2 linked regions of the Caenorhabditis elegans genome follow. The protein of the gene in region 2 purifies or fractionates together with the protein of the main gene of each other region. This does not show direct contact. Each region holds a gene or a part of one and is shown on either strand. Other genes may lie near its edges. The genes, in order: gldc-1 and B0310.2.

Evidence for each region.
Region 1: the proteins of B0310.2 (region 2) and gldc-1 fractionate together in Caenorhabditis elegans (co-fractionation; one large-scale study listed by BioGRID). This does not show direct contact.

The regions. Positions count from the first base shown.
Region 1 is NC_003280.10:6,047,379-6,056,087, reverse strand, and holds gldc-1 (Glycine cleavage system P protein), read right to left. Parts: upstream 5,669-8,709; 5' UTR 5,649-5,668; coding exon 5,493-5,648; intron 5,098-5,492; coding exon 4,807-5,097; intron 4,760-4,806; coding exon 4,233-4,759; intron 4,164-4,232; coding exon 3,961-4,163; intron 3,915-3,960; coding exon 3,682-3,914; intron 3,629-3,681; coding exon 3,401-3,628; intron 3,354-3,400; coding exon 3,135-3,353; intron 3,088-3,134; coding exon 2,699-3,087; intron 2,656-2,698; coding exon 2,423-2,655; intron 2,377-2,422; coding exon 2,209-2,376; intron 2,154-2,208; coding exon 1,861-2,153; 3' UTR 1,781-1,860; downstream 1-1,780. Other genes in the region: R12C12.7 (Zf-AD domain-containing protein), read left to right, coding at 103-238, 290-424, 468-545, 597-720, 768-933; ran-5 (RanBD1 domain-containing protein), read right to left, coding at 6,667-7,011, 7,061-7,152, 7,199-7,313, 7,361-7,495, 7,544-7,699, 7,749-7,861, 7,911-7,977; R12C12.6 (Transmembrane protein 9), read left to right, coding at 8,221-8,424, 8,476-8,615.
Region 2 is NC_003284.9:500,102-509,685, forward strand, and holds B0310.2 (Putative zinc finger protein B0310.2), read right to left. Parts: upstream 6,843-9,584; 5' UTR 6,833-6,842; coding exon 6,675-6,832; intron 6,083-6,674; coding exon 6,010-6,082; intron 5,875-6,009; coding exon 5,686-5,874; intron 5,451-5,685; coding exon 5,191-5,450; intron 5,018-5,190; exon of another isoform or gene 4,907-5,017; intron 3,886-4,906; exon of another isoform or gene 3,818-3,885; intron 3,207-3,817; coding exon 2,986-3,206; intron 2,931-2,985; coding exon 2,801-2,930; intron 2,396-2,800; coding exon 2,185-2,395; 3' UTR 1,846-2,184; downstream 1-1,845.

The sequences.
Region 1 (8,709 bases), on a different chromosome or scaffold from region 2:
GAATTGTTTTTTCTACAATTCTGTTGTGTTCAAAGTTAAAATGTATTTTTTTATCTGAATATTTTGAATATTTTTAAAATTTTATAAATGATTTTTTTTTAGATGAAACGTCAAAGAATCCGACCGTTCACAAGAGATATTCTGACCGAACTTGCTCAGAAAATCAACAAGAACTCAAAAAATGGACCGGGAATGGGCGAAATTTCTGTTGTTAGAATAGAGATGGAACATGAGCAAGGTGAAGAAAACACATTTTGTAGGTGGCATTTCTAACGAACGATAATTGCAGAAAACCTCCAATCGGAGTCGGATTCTACAGAATACGAAGATGAAGAGGAATCTTATGATGATTCAAAAGAAACAGAAGAAACAGAAGAGGAAGACGAGATTTTCGAATCCGAAAATGTAGAAATGAATGTTAGAGGTATTGAATTTATTGTAAGAACTTGAGTAAACATTATTTTCAGATTCACTGTGGCGATTTCTCTCCGATGTCGATCTTCGGAGAATGCATTTCTTACTTACTACAACTCACTCAAAAGCTGGTAATCCATTTCAATTTATTGCAAACTGAGTAAATAATCCGCGTTTTTCAGCTGTTTGTCTCTATTTCGACATTGAATGTATTGAAAATGAAGAAAGCATGAAAAAATTGTTGCTTGGTGAAAGCCATCTGAAGACAATTGAAGCGTGTGCAGTTTGTGCTGAGGACTTGGAAAAGTGGGACTTAAAATTTAATTGTGGCGATATTTATTTTCTTTTTGCAGATGTAAATGCAAAAAAGCACCGAAGAAGTGTAAAATAACTTTTATGAACTTGCACGAGAAAATTCAATCATTTCTTCGAGCGTACGGACAAACTATTCGTGAAACTCATGTGAAGGTTGCTCGAGGGGAAACGACTTCATCTACATTATCGTTTGAGATTTTCTGATTTCAATTGAAATCATAAAATATTGTCAACAGCAAGCATGTTCCCAGTATACTCATCATTTTAATCAAATTGTTAGTGAAAAAAAATATTGAAAAAATAAAATGTTATTCTCTCTTTGACAAAAAATCGGAAAAATTGCAATTCTAACATTTTTAAAAGCATAACAAATAAATCGTTGTTCCACATTCACTTTCAAAGAAAGTTATCCAATTTCGCTCTGACACTTTGAAAATTTGCGAAAAGTCACTGATTTCCCATCAAAAGTAACGAAAAGGACGTGCGCCCATTAACTATTTACTTAAGCAATAACTAAATCTAGATGCGACACGTACAGGATGGCTCATCAGGTAAGATAATGGTTCATAGACTCAACGACAAGCGACGGACAAGTTCAACTCCCCTCAATGGCAACAAAAGTTCTTCGAGTTATCACAAAATAGTTCTAGAATAGTCGATGAATGCATTTTTAATATTTAGAGACAAACTCGCAATATTTTGAGACAAAATCGCAATATTCTGAGACGAAATCTCAATCTTCGGAGATGAAATCTCAATCTTCGGAGACGAGCTCGCAGTCTTTTGAGACAAATTAGTAATCTTTTGAGATAAAACCGAAGTCTACCTAGAAATTTTCACACTTTCGCAATATTTTGAGATCAAATTGTAATCTTTTGAGACAAAATTGAAATCTATTCGAAATTTTTAGTAATCTTATATGGACGCACTATTTCTCGTTTTTACTACAAAAAGATTGCTATTTAATATTTTCAGATTAGATTTGAGTTGCCTGAGTAGTCTTTTTGCACTAATCTTTCTAATGTTTATATGTCATTGTGCAAATGTATTTAGTAAATTCCTTTATTTTCGAATATAATGAAAACCAGAGAAATTGGACCCGACAATTAAAAACTTAATCTAAAACGACTATTACTGATATGATTCAATTGGGGGGCATGTGCACACAAGATTTCTGTCTCCATATTGATCATCGACTCTTCCGACAGTTGGCCATGCTTTATGGGTACACCAAGGCTTCGGGAATGCAGCCAATTCACGGGAGTATGGCATATTCCAGTTGTCCGAGGTCACCTTTTCCAGAGTATGTGGAGCCATTTTCAATGGATTCAGATGTTTATCGAGACTTCCGTTTTCAACTTGACGAATTTCCTCACGAATTGAGAGAAGAGCTTCTACGAGACGATCCATTTCAGCTTTGTCTTCTGAAAATTGAATTGTGTTATTTTATATATTTTTTCAGAACAAAGTAAACCTTACCTGATTCGGTGGGCTCAATCATGAGACAATCGTGCACAGGCCACGACATCGTTGGTGAATGGAAACCATAATCCATCAATCTTTTCGCAATATCAACAACCTCAATTCCGTGCTTCTTGAATGGCTTACAATCCATAATAAACTCGTGAGCTACAAGACCCTGTTCATCTGAAAACCAGGGAGGATGCATCTACCAAACTACGAGCCAACTTACCTTTGTAAACGATACGGTAGTCATTTTCGAGTCGTTTAGCCATATAATTAGCATTGAGAATTGCTACTTGAGATGCTTCACGAAGACCAACTGGCCCCATCATACGAATGTAAGCCCATGTAATTGCAAGAATACTTGCTGAACCATACGGAGCAGAAGCAACTGATCCAACTTTACGTCCATCAACTGGCACAACTGAATGACCAGGAAGGAATGGAGCAAGATGTTTTTTACTATAATAAAACATTGCAAATTTTCACATTTTTTCAAACTTACACTCCAATTGGTCCAACACCTGGACCACCTCCTCCGTGTGGAATACAGAATGTCTTGTGAAGGTTCAAATGCGACACATCACTCCCGTAGTCTCCTGGACGACACAATCCAACTTGAGCATTCATATTGGCTCCATCAAGATAAACTTGTCCACCATGCTCATGAACTTTGTCACAAACATCACGAATCGATGACTCAAATACTCCATGAGTCGATGGATAAGTGACCATAATAGCTGCCAATTGATTTGAGTACTTCTCAGCTTTAGCTGCCAGATCCTTGTAGTTGATGTTTCCGTGATGATCTGAGTCCACGACAACAACCTTCATATTAGCCATTTGAGCAGATGCTGGATTAGTTCCATGTGCAGACGTTGGAATGAGACAAATCTAAAATAATACTGAAAGTTTTTAACAAACTTTTTATTTCTTCTTACATTTCTCTGCTCCTCTCCCTTGTGAATCAAATAATTCCGAATGGCAAGAAGTCCAGCATATTCTCCATTGGCTCCAGAGTTTGGTTGCAAGCTGAAGTTATCGTATCCAGTGATTTCACAAAGCCACTTCTCAAGATCTCCAAAGATACGACTATATCCCTTGGCCTGCTCTACAGGAGCAAATGGATGAATAGATGATAGAGTTGGCCAGGTGATAGGCTTAATGATAGTTATAAATTTCAAGGCCAACATGTAAAGTAACAAACAATAAGTTCAGCAGATGCGTTAAGCTTCATGGTACAGCTGCCAAGAGGAATCATCGAATGAACAAGAGAAACATCCTTATTTTCCAATCGTTTCATATATCGAACAAGCTGTTGTTCACTCTGATGAGTATTAAATACCGGATGTTGAAGGAATAGTGATGATCTAGAATGTGGTGAGTTTCCAATTAATGGGCATGCAACTTCCCAACGTTCTTCACGAAGCTTGGTCTAAACATATAAATGTGATAGTCTTTCTTCTACATCTCGAGTCAAAAACTAACCACATCCTTTTCTGTGGCTCCATTCAATGTGTAGATGATATCCATAAGATCTTCAGATTTAACAGTCTCATCCAATGAAACTCCGATATCTCCATCTTCATAATAACGGAAGTTCATCTTCATTTCCTCGGCTCTCTTTTTCGTTTCTTCAAGAGCGGCTTTATCCTTCAGACGGATTTTCAAAGTATCAAAGTAGTCCTTGTGTACAATTTCGTGACCAGCATTTCGAAGATCTAAATTAAAGATTTAATGAATATAGTAACTTACATAGTAACTTACGGTAAGCAAGATATGCAGTTGATTTGTGAACTCCTCTGGCAATTTCAGTGAGTCTTTGTGGACCATGATAGACTGCGTACATAGCTGACATATTAGCAAGAAGAGCTTGAGCAGTACAAATGTTACTGGTTGCCTTATCACGACGAATGTGTTGCTCACGGGTTTGAAGAGCCAGGCGAAGAGCACGATTTCCATTTGCATCCCTGAAAAAAGAAAAGTTTAAATGTGAAGTCTTGGTGATAGGTTGATCCCAGAAATTGGTTACCACTTACTTAGTAACTCCAATGATTCTTCCTGGAATATTTCTTCCCAATGCATTCTTCGCATCATGCTTAGCGACAGCCATAAATCCAGCGTGTGGTCCTCCATAACCCAATGGAACTCCAAATCGTTGAGCCGATCCAACAGCAATATCTGCACCAAGATCTCCTGGTGATCGGAGAATCGTTAACGAGAGCAAGTCGCACACCATTATCACCAATGACTTATTCTTGTGAGCACTTTCGATCAACTCGTCGAATTGATGAATTCTTCCTTCAGTATTCGGATATTGAACAACTACAGCAGCTACTTTATCATCAAACGCATATCCTTCAATTGAATCAGAAACTTCAATATCTATTCCAAGTGGTCCACTACGAGTTCTGATTACATCAAGATTTTGTGGATGACAGAATGAGTCAACGACAATTTTGTTTCTCTTTGTAGTTCTAGCAGCCAGTGCAACTGCTTCTGCAGAAGCTGTGGCTTCATCCAAAAGAGATGCATTGGTTGTTGGGAGACCAGTCATTTCAGCAATCTTCAAACATAATATATTAGACTCATAGGCATCAAACCATGCCTTACCATAGTCTGGAAGTTTAAAAGAGACTCAAGTCTTCCCTGTGAGATTTCTGCTTGGTATGGAGTATACTGGGAGATCCATCCAATATTTTGAAGGATATTACGAGAAATGACAGCTGGCACAATTGTATCATAATATCCCATTCCAATATAAGATCTATAAATCTTGTTCTGTGCTGCAATTGCTTCCAACTCTTTGAGCATCTTGTATTCGTCAAGTGGTGCTGGAAGCTCTAGAGCCTTCTCTGCTTTGATCATATTTGGCACATTGGTTCCGGTGAGATCATCTAGATCCTGTAATTTCAAGGTTATTATGAGACAGAATTCTCAGGCGTTTCTAACTTCAGAAAATGCATTAAACAAAATAGGAGATACAATGCCAACATCGCAAATTATTTTTGCGGGACATATGGTCCCCGGTCTCGACATGGTCGAAACTTTTTAGCTACCGTATCAAAAAGTATTTAGCAAAGTTTTTCTGAAGTAATTAAAGTTTTGCTCGATTTTAACGTGTTTTCAATCAAAAACCTGAAAATATTCGGATCATTATAAAATTGCGAAATACTCGCGGATACGGTAGAAAAACTTCCGATCGTGACGAGACCGTATGTCAGCGTAAAAAATCGTAAACTTCTGCAGCTGCGTAATAACTGTGTATACCATTAGTAATGGAAAATCAAGCCACGAACTTTGTATCCAATAAAATCGAGCATTTGTTGCTGCTCCAATCGTCTTGGTCCAATATGTCTATCAACAAAAGCATCATATTGAAGGTGTCGTACAATCATCGGACGTCGAAAAGCAACACGCCCGACGGCAAGTAATCCTCGTCCAAGGAGAACCATTTTGGAGATGAGTGAAGGTTCTAGATTCACGAGTAGTAAAATGAAATGAAACAAGAATGTAGAAATGGCAGGCAAAGAGAATTTATTCCGAGAAAAAATATTTAAAATAGTACAAATCGAGAAATATCGTGGGTACACGTGTACTCCAATTGTTGATAAGATAAAAAAAATTCGACTTTTGATTTTATGATATTAAACGCCCGACGCGTGGTTAGATATTATGGGATAATTTCAAACTTTGAACTTCAAAGTTTAAACTTCAAAACTAAATTCAAAGGGGTTTATTACAAAGACGCCAAAAAACCGGTACCGGGTCTCAACGCGACAACTTTTTATTAAATGCAAGAAGGTGTGTGCACCTTTAAGGAGTACTGTAACTTCAAACTCTCATTGATGCGGAATCGATTTTTCCTCTAGATTTATAAAAATTGAAGTGTTTCGGTGTTATTTTAGAGTTTATAAATAAATTGATACAATTTTTTTTTAAGTATTAAAAATTGTCGTGACGAGACCGGCTACCGTATTTTAGGTGCAAAAATCGCGTTTGTTATACTCAAAATTGATATTTAACTACAAAAAAATCTTCTCCTACTGAAACAATGCTACAGAATTGACAAGGTGATAAATGATCATGGTGTTGCCAATTGAATTCTGAATCGATCACCCCACAACGATCGTTATCTCGCTCTCCTCCTCCTTCAGTAAGAGCGCCACTGATAACCGAAACGCCATTGTCTAAGTGTCTTCTTGATTGTATTTCTGCTTTTTATTGCAAACTCTTCTCTTTTTCACAAACCAAATATATTCGACAAACACATAAAACGGGATATATAAGAATAAAACGAAATTGGAAAGTTAGGCCAGATTGGTAGAAATCTAGAAGAAATTTTTAGCAATAAAGAAATTAGACTTAAGGGGAAATGATTTGAGTTGGGTGAAAGTTGGAGACCATTTTTGTGGGGATTGGAAGGAGAAAAAAGAGCACAGGGGAAGTTGAAAGAAGCAATGACTGATATGGTTATTCGGAAGGAGTTGAGCTGGATGCAGATTCTTCGGCAGCTGTAACAGCTGGTTTTTCTTCTTTCACCTCATCTTCTGTTGGCTTGTTTACAATGACAAATCCTTCATCAACTTGATCTTGATCACCTTCTTCTTCTTCCTTTCCATCCTTGATTTTAACAGTTGAAGCGTTCAGATCACAATCCGCTTTCCTCTTCCGACTATTCTCTCCCTTCTCCAATTTCAGCAGGTCGCTCATAATATTGTAGAATATATCCGAATCGGGGATCGTCTCAGTTTTGGTGAATCCGATTTTTAGAAGGAAAATCTGAACACCGCTGATCTCTGGTCCCATTGCGGAAATCTGTAAACAGTAACAATAAAACATATATTCATATAACATTAAAGCTCACTCGAATTCTCTTGTCGACCCGCTCCAAAAGCATATCAGAGAAAATTTTGGAATTTATGATGACACGAAGAGTACCGGAAGATGTTCTTGCCACTGAAAATAATTTTGAATACAATAAACTCTAACTATCAGTATTTACCAATTCGGTGGTGCGTCAGTCCGTTCTCGACTCGTTTGTTGATCCTGAGATTGCAGACACCCTTTTCAGAGTAGGCATTTTTCAATTTATCAAACGCCCAAATTTTGCAAGGAGCCTAAAGACAAATAAATAAAAATTATGTTTTAATGAATACTGCCTCACTTGGAAAATATTAGTATCGTTCTCTTCCCCGGTGGTGATTTCGACTGAACTCGTTCCGGCATGCTGCTTTTCGGCTTCCTTTGCTCTCTCCGCTTCTTGTTCAGCTTCCTTTCTGAAGTTTTTGGCTCCATTTTTCTGAAATTAACATTATGAATAGAAATATTGATTCGAAATATAGATTACATCGTCATCTTTTTTAACTGCATTTTGGAAGAGCTCAGTTGCTGTCATGGTCTTTTCGTCTGAACCACCCGGCTTTGTTGAATCACCTTCTTTGTTCACAACACGATCTGATATTTTGGAGCCAAAAACAAATGCTTGTGGAGCCTCTTCGACTTCCTATAATTAGAAGAAAACGAATTTTTTGACTCATTGTGTTTCAACGAACTTTTTCATTTGCAACAGGCGCATCTGCTGATTTCGGAATAATATCGCCCAGCGATTTCTTTTCCAAATGAACGTGGTTGATTGTTGAATGAGTTGCTGTGTATTCTGTTTTGCCTGCAAATTCACGTGACTTAGATAACATAACACAAAATTGAAAACTTACTATCTGACCACAGTTTATCTGCCTTGGCAGCTAAAGCAGACGGTTTGAAAGCAAAACCTTTTGACATGACTGAAAATAGTAACGAATGAATTAAAAAAGACAAATACCGGATAGAAATTGCAAAAAAAATGCGAAAAATCGATTATTAGTATTCATGCAGACTGAAATGAAGATAATTAGCAAGTAATTTAGACTGAGAACTGAAAAATTACTCAACAAGCAGAAGAAAAATTGAAATTTAAGACAAAAATAAGTGCAAGTTTTTATTTCTTCGATTTTCGTTGTGAACATCATAAAAGTGAAACGAAGAATGCGTCAGCCATCGCGAAAAGCGCCAGTAAGTTGCACTGGCGCACTTCTTGTTTTACTTGTATTCTATTTTTCAGAGCATTTTTTATTTTCTTGCAAAAATAAAAAAAAATACAGTCCAACTTCCGTAATTTTTTCAGATTTAATGATATATTTATTTATTGCTTTACTGTTTCTTCCCGCATTATCCCAAGCAGGGACTGAGGTTTGTTTCATAACTACTTTTATAAAGATATAATTTAATAAATATTTTCAGGCTAACTTCGAAGATACACGATGTCGATGCATTTGTCCGAGTCTTTTAAAATTTCTCGACTTGGCTGAAAATACAACTGAAAAAACAGAAGGATTGAGGAGACGATTTTATACAAAAACTAACATCGAACCGAGCCATTGGTGAGTTTTTTTAATTTTAAATCTGAATTGTTTTAATAGAAAATATAAAATATCAAATCCGAATATGTAAATATCTCCTAGTCACTCTGATATT
Region 2 (9,584 bases):
GCTTCAAAAGTTTGATTCATAAAATTCATTGATTTGAGCACATTTTAAATCTATATATTTCAAAAACAAAAATTCATAGTGAAATTTTAAGTTGCTTTATTTTTTCAAAAAAATTTGAGTAGCTGAAGCCCTTGCCCATCTTATATTTTCTTATCAATTTCACACATTTTCGTTCTGAGATTTTTGATTTCTCAATTGTAACCCGTTGAAAATTACTTACTAACTGCGGTGCTATTTTCTTTTCATATTCTCTATCGTCTTCACGACACAACATATCAACTTGTAACAGTAACAAAAAGAGACTTATCAACAATCGGTTGTTTCTTTCATTCTCTCCTTCTTGCCAACCGTTTTTCTAGTGTCCGAAAGAAATGAGAGATAATGATGAGTGAATGAGTGTGTACGGGTGAACTGGTTATTTTTGCAGGCCAAAGAATGAACGAGTAACACATACTGTGTCCGTTTTTTGGACATTTGCCAAAGCAGACAAAAATTAATAAAGTAATGCTATACAAACATTAAAACGTGCCTGCCTGCAAGGCTTCAAAAGAACTCAATGAAACCTACTGAGTGTAAATAATATTCAATGTAAGTCTACCTATCTGGTAGTTTCCAGCAGCCGTATTTGAGGTTATCCCTGGGCTCATGGCTTGGAACTCATATCGTCTATGTAAGATTTTTAATCGATGTCAAAATATTCAATAGCGTATGATCATTGTGAACTTAAGAAAACAGGAACTAAAAACTTTTAAAAACTTTTGAACTCTTTCCCACAAAAACTTGAAATTATTTTTACATAACAAGTATTTCTAAAAGTTTTCAAGAGTTTCTATGTATATTAAATTTTATTATAAATTGTATTTTTATCATTATTTTATGTTAGCAAACATTTACTTTCAAAACAATTTCAAAATGATTCCCACTTAAAGCTGAAAAAATACATTATCAGTATACCCAATTCAACTTTGACAGATCATTTTTCAAATATTTTTTCAATTACTGATGGGACATAAGGTAAACTATTACACTATGAACCTATTATTAAAATAGTTACCGTATTTCCTCTATTAATATTGCACCCAATTGTTCAACTTTGACAGCTTATATTTCAGTTATCGTTTGTCCTATTCAAGTATTGTCAACTGACAAAATATTTGTTAGTTATTTTTCTACTAATTTGTTGTTTATGATATATTGATATCTTTAAAATGAGCCGAGATATACCGTTTCAAAGTTAAGTAGTCGGGTGCAATACGAATAGAGGAAATAAGGTATTTGATTTTAACTTTTGAACACCGTTTAATAGCTACAAAAATCTAATTTTTAGGTTTTAATGATTTCAAGGTTGCCTTCGAGTAGGGTGGATTTTTGTAGATCCATGATAACTTAAGTGTGGTTTGAAATTAATAAAAGAAAGCTCTTCAGGTACTTTTCAACTGAACAATTTAGAATGAAAGTTTTTTCAATAGAGCTCAATGGTAAAGTAGCGTCTTTGGGAACATTGTTTTAGGCCACGCCATTTTTTTTGAAATCGATACCTTCTGATTTTATTTTCTACTTATGTTTAAAATATTAATATTAAAAGTTTGTAAAGTTTTGAACATGCGACAGTGCATTAGTTTTCTTAAAAACTGCCGAAAACTCAATAATTGTGACTTTCTATTATAAATGGAAAATTTTTTTATTGGTTTTCAATAACTTTTTGAACTTCTTAAGATGGATAGGAACTTTTTCTTAGTTCAAAAATGTTCCTCTGCCGTTAACTACAAATTTTTTTCTTTGACACTTGGAAGCTCAAATAAAGGAAAAGGAATAGTTTTCCCCGTTTTTCTATCTTGAAAAAATACGTTAAATTCAATTTTATTGCTGACATCAAATCTTAACCATAAAAAAAACATCAGGAATAAAAAATAAAAATTCCAGATTTTAGAAGAATTAAAGCATTGAGTGGTAAAGGAAAGTGCAGTGCATGGGAAAATAATTGGTTGCACATTAGTCATACTGATACCCAGTTTGGAAAAGAAAATATGAAAGGAAATAATATACATAACACAGCTTGAATCTTTGAATTTTAAATCACAGACTTGATAGATATGGTTAATAAAGGAAAGAGGGGGAAAGTAAGATGACAAAAGTGAGCAGCTGAAACATAAGTAGCACAAAACATAGTGTAAAAGTTGTCAGTTAGGAAAGACTACGCACTGCTGTAGCACCAGTTTCCAGAGACATTTTCAGAGCATGGAAATGACTGAAGCCTTGTGTGAGGGCAATATTATGAAGGACCGGAAGCTGTGGAATCCCGTGGAAGGGGTTTTTGGGTAGAATTGGCCCCAAATGAGCACTCGTCGGTGAATGGGTCTTCTTATGACGTAGCAGGTTGTCTTTCCTGTTGAATCTGAAAATATACATGTAATTCGTTTCCATTTTTAGGGTTTCCATTTTTTCATTTTATATTTGAAAAGCCTTATTTTTTACCTAATTTTTGTTACCTAACCTAATTTTTAACCTAATTTTGTAAACTCGTTTTCTAACATTTAAAACAAGTAAAACCAAGCTGTCAAAGGAAGGTAATAGTTTTCAAAGTAAGATGCCATCATTCCTAGAAATTCCTTGAACTCTTATCATTCTTCAACCAATCATTCTTCCTATCACCATAACTACTTTACAAATTGCTTCTCATTATCACTTGGGTCAAATTCGACGTGCCAAGGACGCCAGTCTCATTCCTCACATGACAATATTATGTTGCGCTTTGTTTGAAAAGACAAAAAGGGAAGCATAGACTGGGCAAGTTACTCACTTTTTGTGGCAGTGTGGACATGTGTGTGGACGGAGGCCGGTATGAATGAACATGTGCTTTTTAAGGAGGAACTTGTTGGCGAACCGTTTGCCGCAATTGTTGTGCATGCATATGAACGGTTTCTCCAGGGCTGAAAAGTTGAAGGTTAATAGAGATTTTAAAAAAAGTATAAGAAAGCAACTCACCACAGTCTCCATCTCCACAGTTCGGTGATATCATTGGTCCGGTTGAAGACGATGACGACTCATTTTCAGTGATATCACCAGTTGATGGTGATGGTGACACTTCAATCTCTCCCTCGTCACTTTCCACGTCAATTTTTATATCTTCTGCATCAGATTCTGTGAAGTGATTTGAAACTGGCAGTTGTGGCACGGTTTTCATAAAGTTGGCGGCGTGCATGGTTCTGAAAACAAAAATTTGTTTATGGATAGAAACTGTTGATGAACATTAGAATTTCGAGCATTTCTCTTCTCGCAATCAAAAGTTACAGAGATTTAGTAGAGAAATATTGTTATATACAGATCCTCATAACGACTAAGTGTGCATCCAAATCACTAGTAAATGGAAAACCCTAATTACGTTTTTTTTAAAGCACAATCATAAATTATTATGACTAAAATTAAGGATTAAAAGACGACCCCGTCTTCAAGCACTATGCACTGCGGATCTGGGAGTCAGGTACACTGCCTGGCGGTTCGTCCGCTGGGCTACTTACTTAAGCCACGTCCTAGCTGAGGACTGTGGCCCATAATCCAGGCGTGGATTGCTCCATTTTCAAATAGAGACTGGTGGTGAGGCCGGTCTTGAACTCGTGACATCCAGATTGTGAGTGGTTACCTTTACCGACTAAGCTATCCTGCCCCCATATGTATTTCAAACTAACATGACGATGTGAAGATGACTTATTAGAAGGTGTGACTTGATTTTGGCTAGCCCTAGGTCCATGTATACTGGGATGTAGCTCAGATTGAAGGGGATCTTCATTAGTTCTTCTTAATGGTTGAGAAATAAGTTACATTATATATATATATATATATATATATATATATATATATATATATATATATATATGATCATCTTCAACCGAATCTATCTATCAGTCACTCTCATTCCTCGGATTGCCCTCATTAACAGAATCCACTTTCCCCATAAATATTTGAATTTAAATTGTTTCTCCCACTTCGTTATACATATATCTCTCGCTCGTCTTCATCCTTATCAGTGTTCCTCTCAGTCTCATTTCCTCCATACTCAATTGGTAATCAATCTTGACGACGAATGAATTACCTCCTTCTTTTTCTCTCCATTGCATCTAGTGTTTCTCAATTGCGGCAAGTTGTTGTGTCCATACCCTCTACAGTAACCGCCCTCAATCTCGACGTGTCTCTCTCTCTCTCTTTCTCTGTTCCGCAACACATCAATCCTCTTCACTGATTCCCTAATTTTTGATTTTTAACAAATAAGTGGAAAGGAAGAAGCAAAGAGGTTTTCCAGATGGTAATCTACACTTGTCTACACGATATAACCTACTCCAAAGGGCGCCGACTAGTGAAGTTCTCACATCGAATTAGTCGAAATTGGTGTTGAGCTATTTATGCGATTGCCTACCCCGCTATTCTTACAAGGCCATTCTAACGGGGTTTCCGGAAAATTATTGTTCAGTTTTTTAAAATTCGAATGCCTCAAAAGTTATAGTGCTGATTGAGACATGACACTCAAATTGAGAAGTGGAGATTTCCCTCACTTACTCCGATTTTGATCAAGATAAGGGTGACATTCATCACGATCAATCAAGGTGTTGGTCGCGTTGAAGTGTTGATTAATTTCTAGGTGGTTTTCGAGGAGATTTATTCAATTTTGAAATGAATAAGGTCATCCAGTTTTCTTATCTGAAGTGACAAGAACAACAAAAAGTGAACCATTGTAAATTGCTTTTTTTGTTCGGGCTAACTATCTTCCTCTTTCTGATGTCCCGGATGCCAAATCAATTGCTTTTCTGGCTGCAACAAAATTATGGTTGCCATCCATTTAAGATGATCAGACCAGTTACCAGTTGATTTATTATCACCTACATTTGTTTACGCTCATCATCACCGTCGTCACTCCTTCTCTCGAGAATGCGGTCCGGGGGCAAGTTACCTCCTTTACTCTGTCTCTCTTTCTCCGGGGACGGGCGGTTACTGTAGTTTTCCTATTATACTCCTCCCCCTCCGCTATCTTCTCAAACTTTCACAACGAGCAGCAACATCCATACCCGTTTCAATTGTCTCTCATTTGTTTTGTGTGAAATAAACAAAAGGTAGGAATGCGTCAGCCGGGAGGCGCCTACTGATACAGTTGAACAAGGGTTGACAGACAAAAAAATTTGACAAAGAAGTAAAACTTACATTTTCATTAAAGCAGCAAATTGCTCTTCTGACGGTTTTGGAGCAGGTTGATGTTGAAACATTGCGTTCAAGTATGCAGGGTTTGTCAATGGGTGCCCTAGCCATCGCTGCATTAATGCTGCGTTTGAAAATGGAATGGGAACTGGGATCTGCGGTAGGACAAATGGAAGTGAAGGTGGTGGAGGGGACACTGAATTCTCTTTGGACAACATTTGAACGGTATCCTCCAAACTTCGCTTGGCTCGCTTACGAGATGGCATCTGAAAAAAATGGAATAAAATAAAAATAATATGATAGCAAAAAATGAAAAGAAAAATGTGAAATAGAAAGTATAGAATCATTTCAAATTATGCTGTGTTTGCCCAGTTAAAAAAGTGGTAGAGAGTTATGGAAAGGCGGAGAAGAATGTGATCGAAGAAATGCGATTTGAAAAATAGGGGGAAATGTGTGGGAATCTCAAATACACTGAAATACACTAAACGGAAACTGCCTCACCCCTTTCACGGAATCATCTGAGGAAAAAATTGGCGGTGACACAACGGGATTTTCCATCGCCTCTACTTTGATTTCAATAGGCTCCAAGTCTAACGACTTTGAAGAGCAAAGTGAGTTGAACAAAATCATTGCTGGCAAAATATCTGGTGCTTCAGAGGAGAGTGGGGAGATTGGTGCGAAGTTTCGGGTCTGAAACGTTTTTGACAGGATAATTGAGGTGAGGAAATACAAGAATGCAAAGGAAAGTGTGATGGTTATCAAGATGGCGGAAAGGTAATTATGGTAATTAGTTGTAGAATATTTCAAAACAAAAATTGAACTAACCTCTTCCAGCAGTTCGTCCACTCTGCTTAGTAGGCAATCAACAGTTTGGGTGACATCTTCGGAGATCTTGGATCTGAAAGAAAAAAAAACTGTTCTGGACGTTTGGTATCTAGCCAGTATAATTTTTACTGCCTATCCCATTTGTGCACGATTTGTGAGCCTCTACAAGCTGAACGTGAATTGTATTGTGGCTTTGGTCAGATTTTTAAACTTCAAAAAACTTGAATTTTGTATTTCATTTAATAGTCTTGCAGCCTCTAGTAAACTTTCACCCTCATTAGTCTAACAGCCCTACCAGCCTCTAATTGTTTTGGAGCAAGCCGTTGCGAGACTGGGCGTGTTTTAGGGGACTCCTAGAAAACACTTTAAAATTTCAAAAGATTTAACGGAATTGATGAAAAGTATGTAATACTCAGAATTGAACTATTTGTGTCCAAAATTTACTATTTTTTCAAAGCAGTGTCGAAAATTAGTCTTGCAGCCTCTTGCGATTTCTATTAGTTGTGAACCAATACGGATCAATTTAGAAATAGTATTGCTTGCAGGGCTGATAGAGGAAATACGGTACCTGTATAATTTTTACGTTTGGATAAAAATAACGTTTTAAACCTTATTTAGGACATGAAAGCACCTCCAAAGTTTCTCTTCAAAAGCTGAAATCTAACCTTTGAATCTCCTCGAGTAGTGAATCCCGAGCGTGCACGATTGCTGACTCTAACAATGTCATCTCCTGCTCTGAACACGTGTGGCTCCTCAAAGCATCAGAAACTGGATCCACCAACTGCTTTGAAAAAAATTCCGAGAGGGGTTGTGACTTTTCCATCGTTGTTGACCTCAAAAAAAAGAACAATCGTTGAGAAAAAAGGTGACAGACTATAAAATTTCAATAACGAGGAAAATCAAAATAAGAATATGGAGTAGAAAAAGACGATGAAAAAGGGAAGCAGAAACGGGGGAGGAGGGGAGAGGGCAAAAGTAGGCGTGTAAATGATAACTGTGAGGAGGAGAAGGAAATAGGAGGAGGACGAAAAAGAAGACGACGACCGTTTCCTTTTCTCTCGCCCCCCCCCCCCCTGTCATTTGTCCACACACACACACACTCTTGAGGAGTTACAACAAGAGTGATTTTGTACAATCTGTTCTGATAAGGATCTGCGAAATCGCGGTTGAGATATTCCTCCTCGTCAATTTATGATTGAGATACAAAAAGGTGTTACGGTTCTCGCGTCAGTTCAGGGTTAGGGCCAAATTCAGTTACAGCTTCTATAGTTGAATTTAAGTTTTGATTTGAAAAACGTTTTTTTTAGCATAATTGGCTGTTTTGCCTGTTTTTAATTTATCATTTCGAGTGTCGTACTAATTGATGCACAGCTCAAATAGATACTGTGTGCAAATTTTTCAAACAATTTTTTTAAGTTGGAATTTGGGATTTTTTTAAAGAAGAAACAAAAAATCAGAAAGCAGAATGAAATTATTGCTCTGATTGTCAGAATAGTTTTTTTAATTAACACAATAACAAACTGAAGTGCAATGCTAAGCTTGAAATTTGCAACAAAATTTTCCAAATTCTACTAATATTTCATCATTCTGAAATATTCGAACACATTTAGACTCAATATGTTCAAAAAATTAGAGGATAATTACCAATAAAATTCATAATAGTAGAAACATGAATAGTAACATCACAACTCGAAAAAAAAACGTCACACCAAAGCAAGTACGGTTGCATATTGCAAAGAGCCAACCAGGAAGACAACGGGCCATAAAAAGTGGTGATCCTGGCAATCGCGCACTTCCCATGTACGGACGCTGTTACAGAGCATATCGGGAAATGGGCGGTGTCCTCTCTCTCTCTCTCCTGCCCTCACAAAACGATTAGAGATATACTACAGAAGATGGTAATGAGAAAAGGGGTTAATAGTGATATTCAGAAGAGGAATAGTTTCTAATTCAATGAGGAGACAAATGATGATGTGATTAAAATGGAACTTATTGGGTTCGAACTTTTTTTCCGTTTGGCGGAATGAATGGGTAGGGCTACTTAGAATTTTGAAGAAAAGGGCTTTTATTAAGTTAAAGTCTTCAAATTTTTTTCCAATATTGACGCTCAATATCAAAAAAAGATGTTGAAAATTTATCATAACAATTTCAATTACTTGAATGAGTCACCAATTATCTCGATGTTACGTTATCGATAGAGTCACACAAAATGTTGAAAACCGATGAAAAAAATATATCTAATCGCAACCAGTGAGCACCAATCAACTCATCATCAAGAGAACAAAGGAACCTTGCTATTTTTGACAATACGGTGATAAGATAGTTTTGGTATGGTAGGTGGACTTTTTTCTGTGTGGATCTAGATGTAAAACGATTGTTTCAAAAATCAGTGATCTCGGCATGGGGTTAGGAAATAGCATGAATTTCAAAATTTTTATAACTGGTCACTAATGTTATGAATTTACATTTTTTAGGGTAACTTTGCAGTACCAATTTTGGAAAATGCTAGTTTTAGTGGTATTAAGGAAGCAATGAAAATTATATAAAATTAATAAAAATATATTGATTGAACTTAAAGGATTACTAATGGATTTGAGTATTTTGAAAATATAGACGCTGAGTATGCTTGAATTAACTACATATGTGACTTCTTAAAAATATTTTCAACAATTTTTATTGGGTTTTGCAGATATTTTTTTAGTAGCTAATTTTAGCTAAAATATCATATATCAAATTTTGCTTTTTGAGTGATTTTTGGCTACCTATCGGCTTTGAATGTATCTCAATCAACAACATAGGATTTTAAAAAACCACAATGTGCAATAAACGGTGATAGTTCTAAAAATGGTAGTTCCTAAAAGCTGTGTCACGGAAAAAATATTTGAGATGAAATAAAGCTAATTTTATCACAATTTTGAACCGCAATAAGCATTTGAATTATTTTTCTGAAGTCTCTTCTTGCCATAATAAAAGTCTTATCTATCTGATATTTATCTAATCACATTTTAGGTTTATACATTCAAAATATTCCGAACCCTTGGGCATATTTTAAGCAAATTATTTTCATAAGTTCACTTATTTACAGAGAGAAATACAACTATTTTTTTGTTTGTCAATTATATTCAAACCAGGCGTGAACCGCACCTAGAGCGCGGTCCCCGACTTTCTTGAGAAGCACATGTGTCTATCGCGGACCTCGATATTTTTATATATATATATATATTTTTTTTTTAAATTCAAGTTTAAAAGTAATCAAATTTAACTTCAATGTTGACAATTTAAAATTATTTTTTAAAGCATTTTCTCTGGGAAAAAAATTTTTAAATTGTTAGATGGCAGCCAACTTGTTACCATGACGATTCCGCAATAAAAATTGGTACTGTCATATTCTATTGAAAAAATTCCAAAAAAAAACTCCAATATTCAAAAAATTCCAATAAACATGATTTGAAAAAATTCAACCATGAAATACATTTCAAATTATGAGTTGGTAGGGCGACTGCAATCATTATTTTCTTGTCCCGGCTCGTCCATGTTTTCAATCAATGTAATAATGATTTATTTGGAGTATCTTC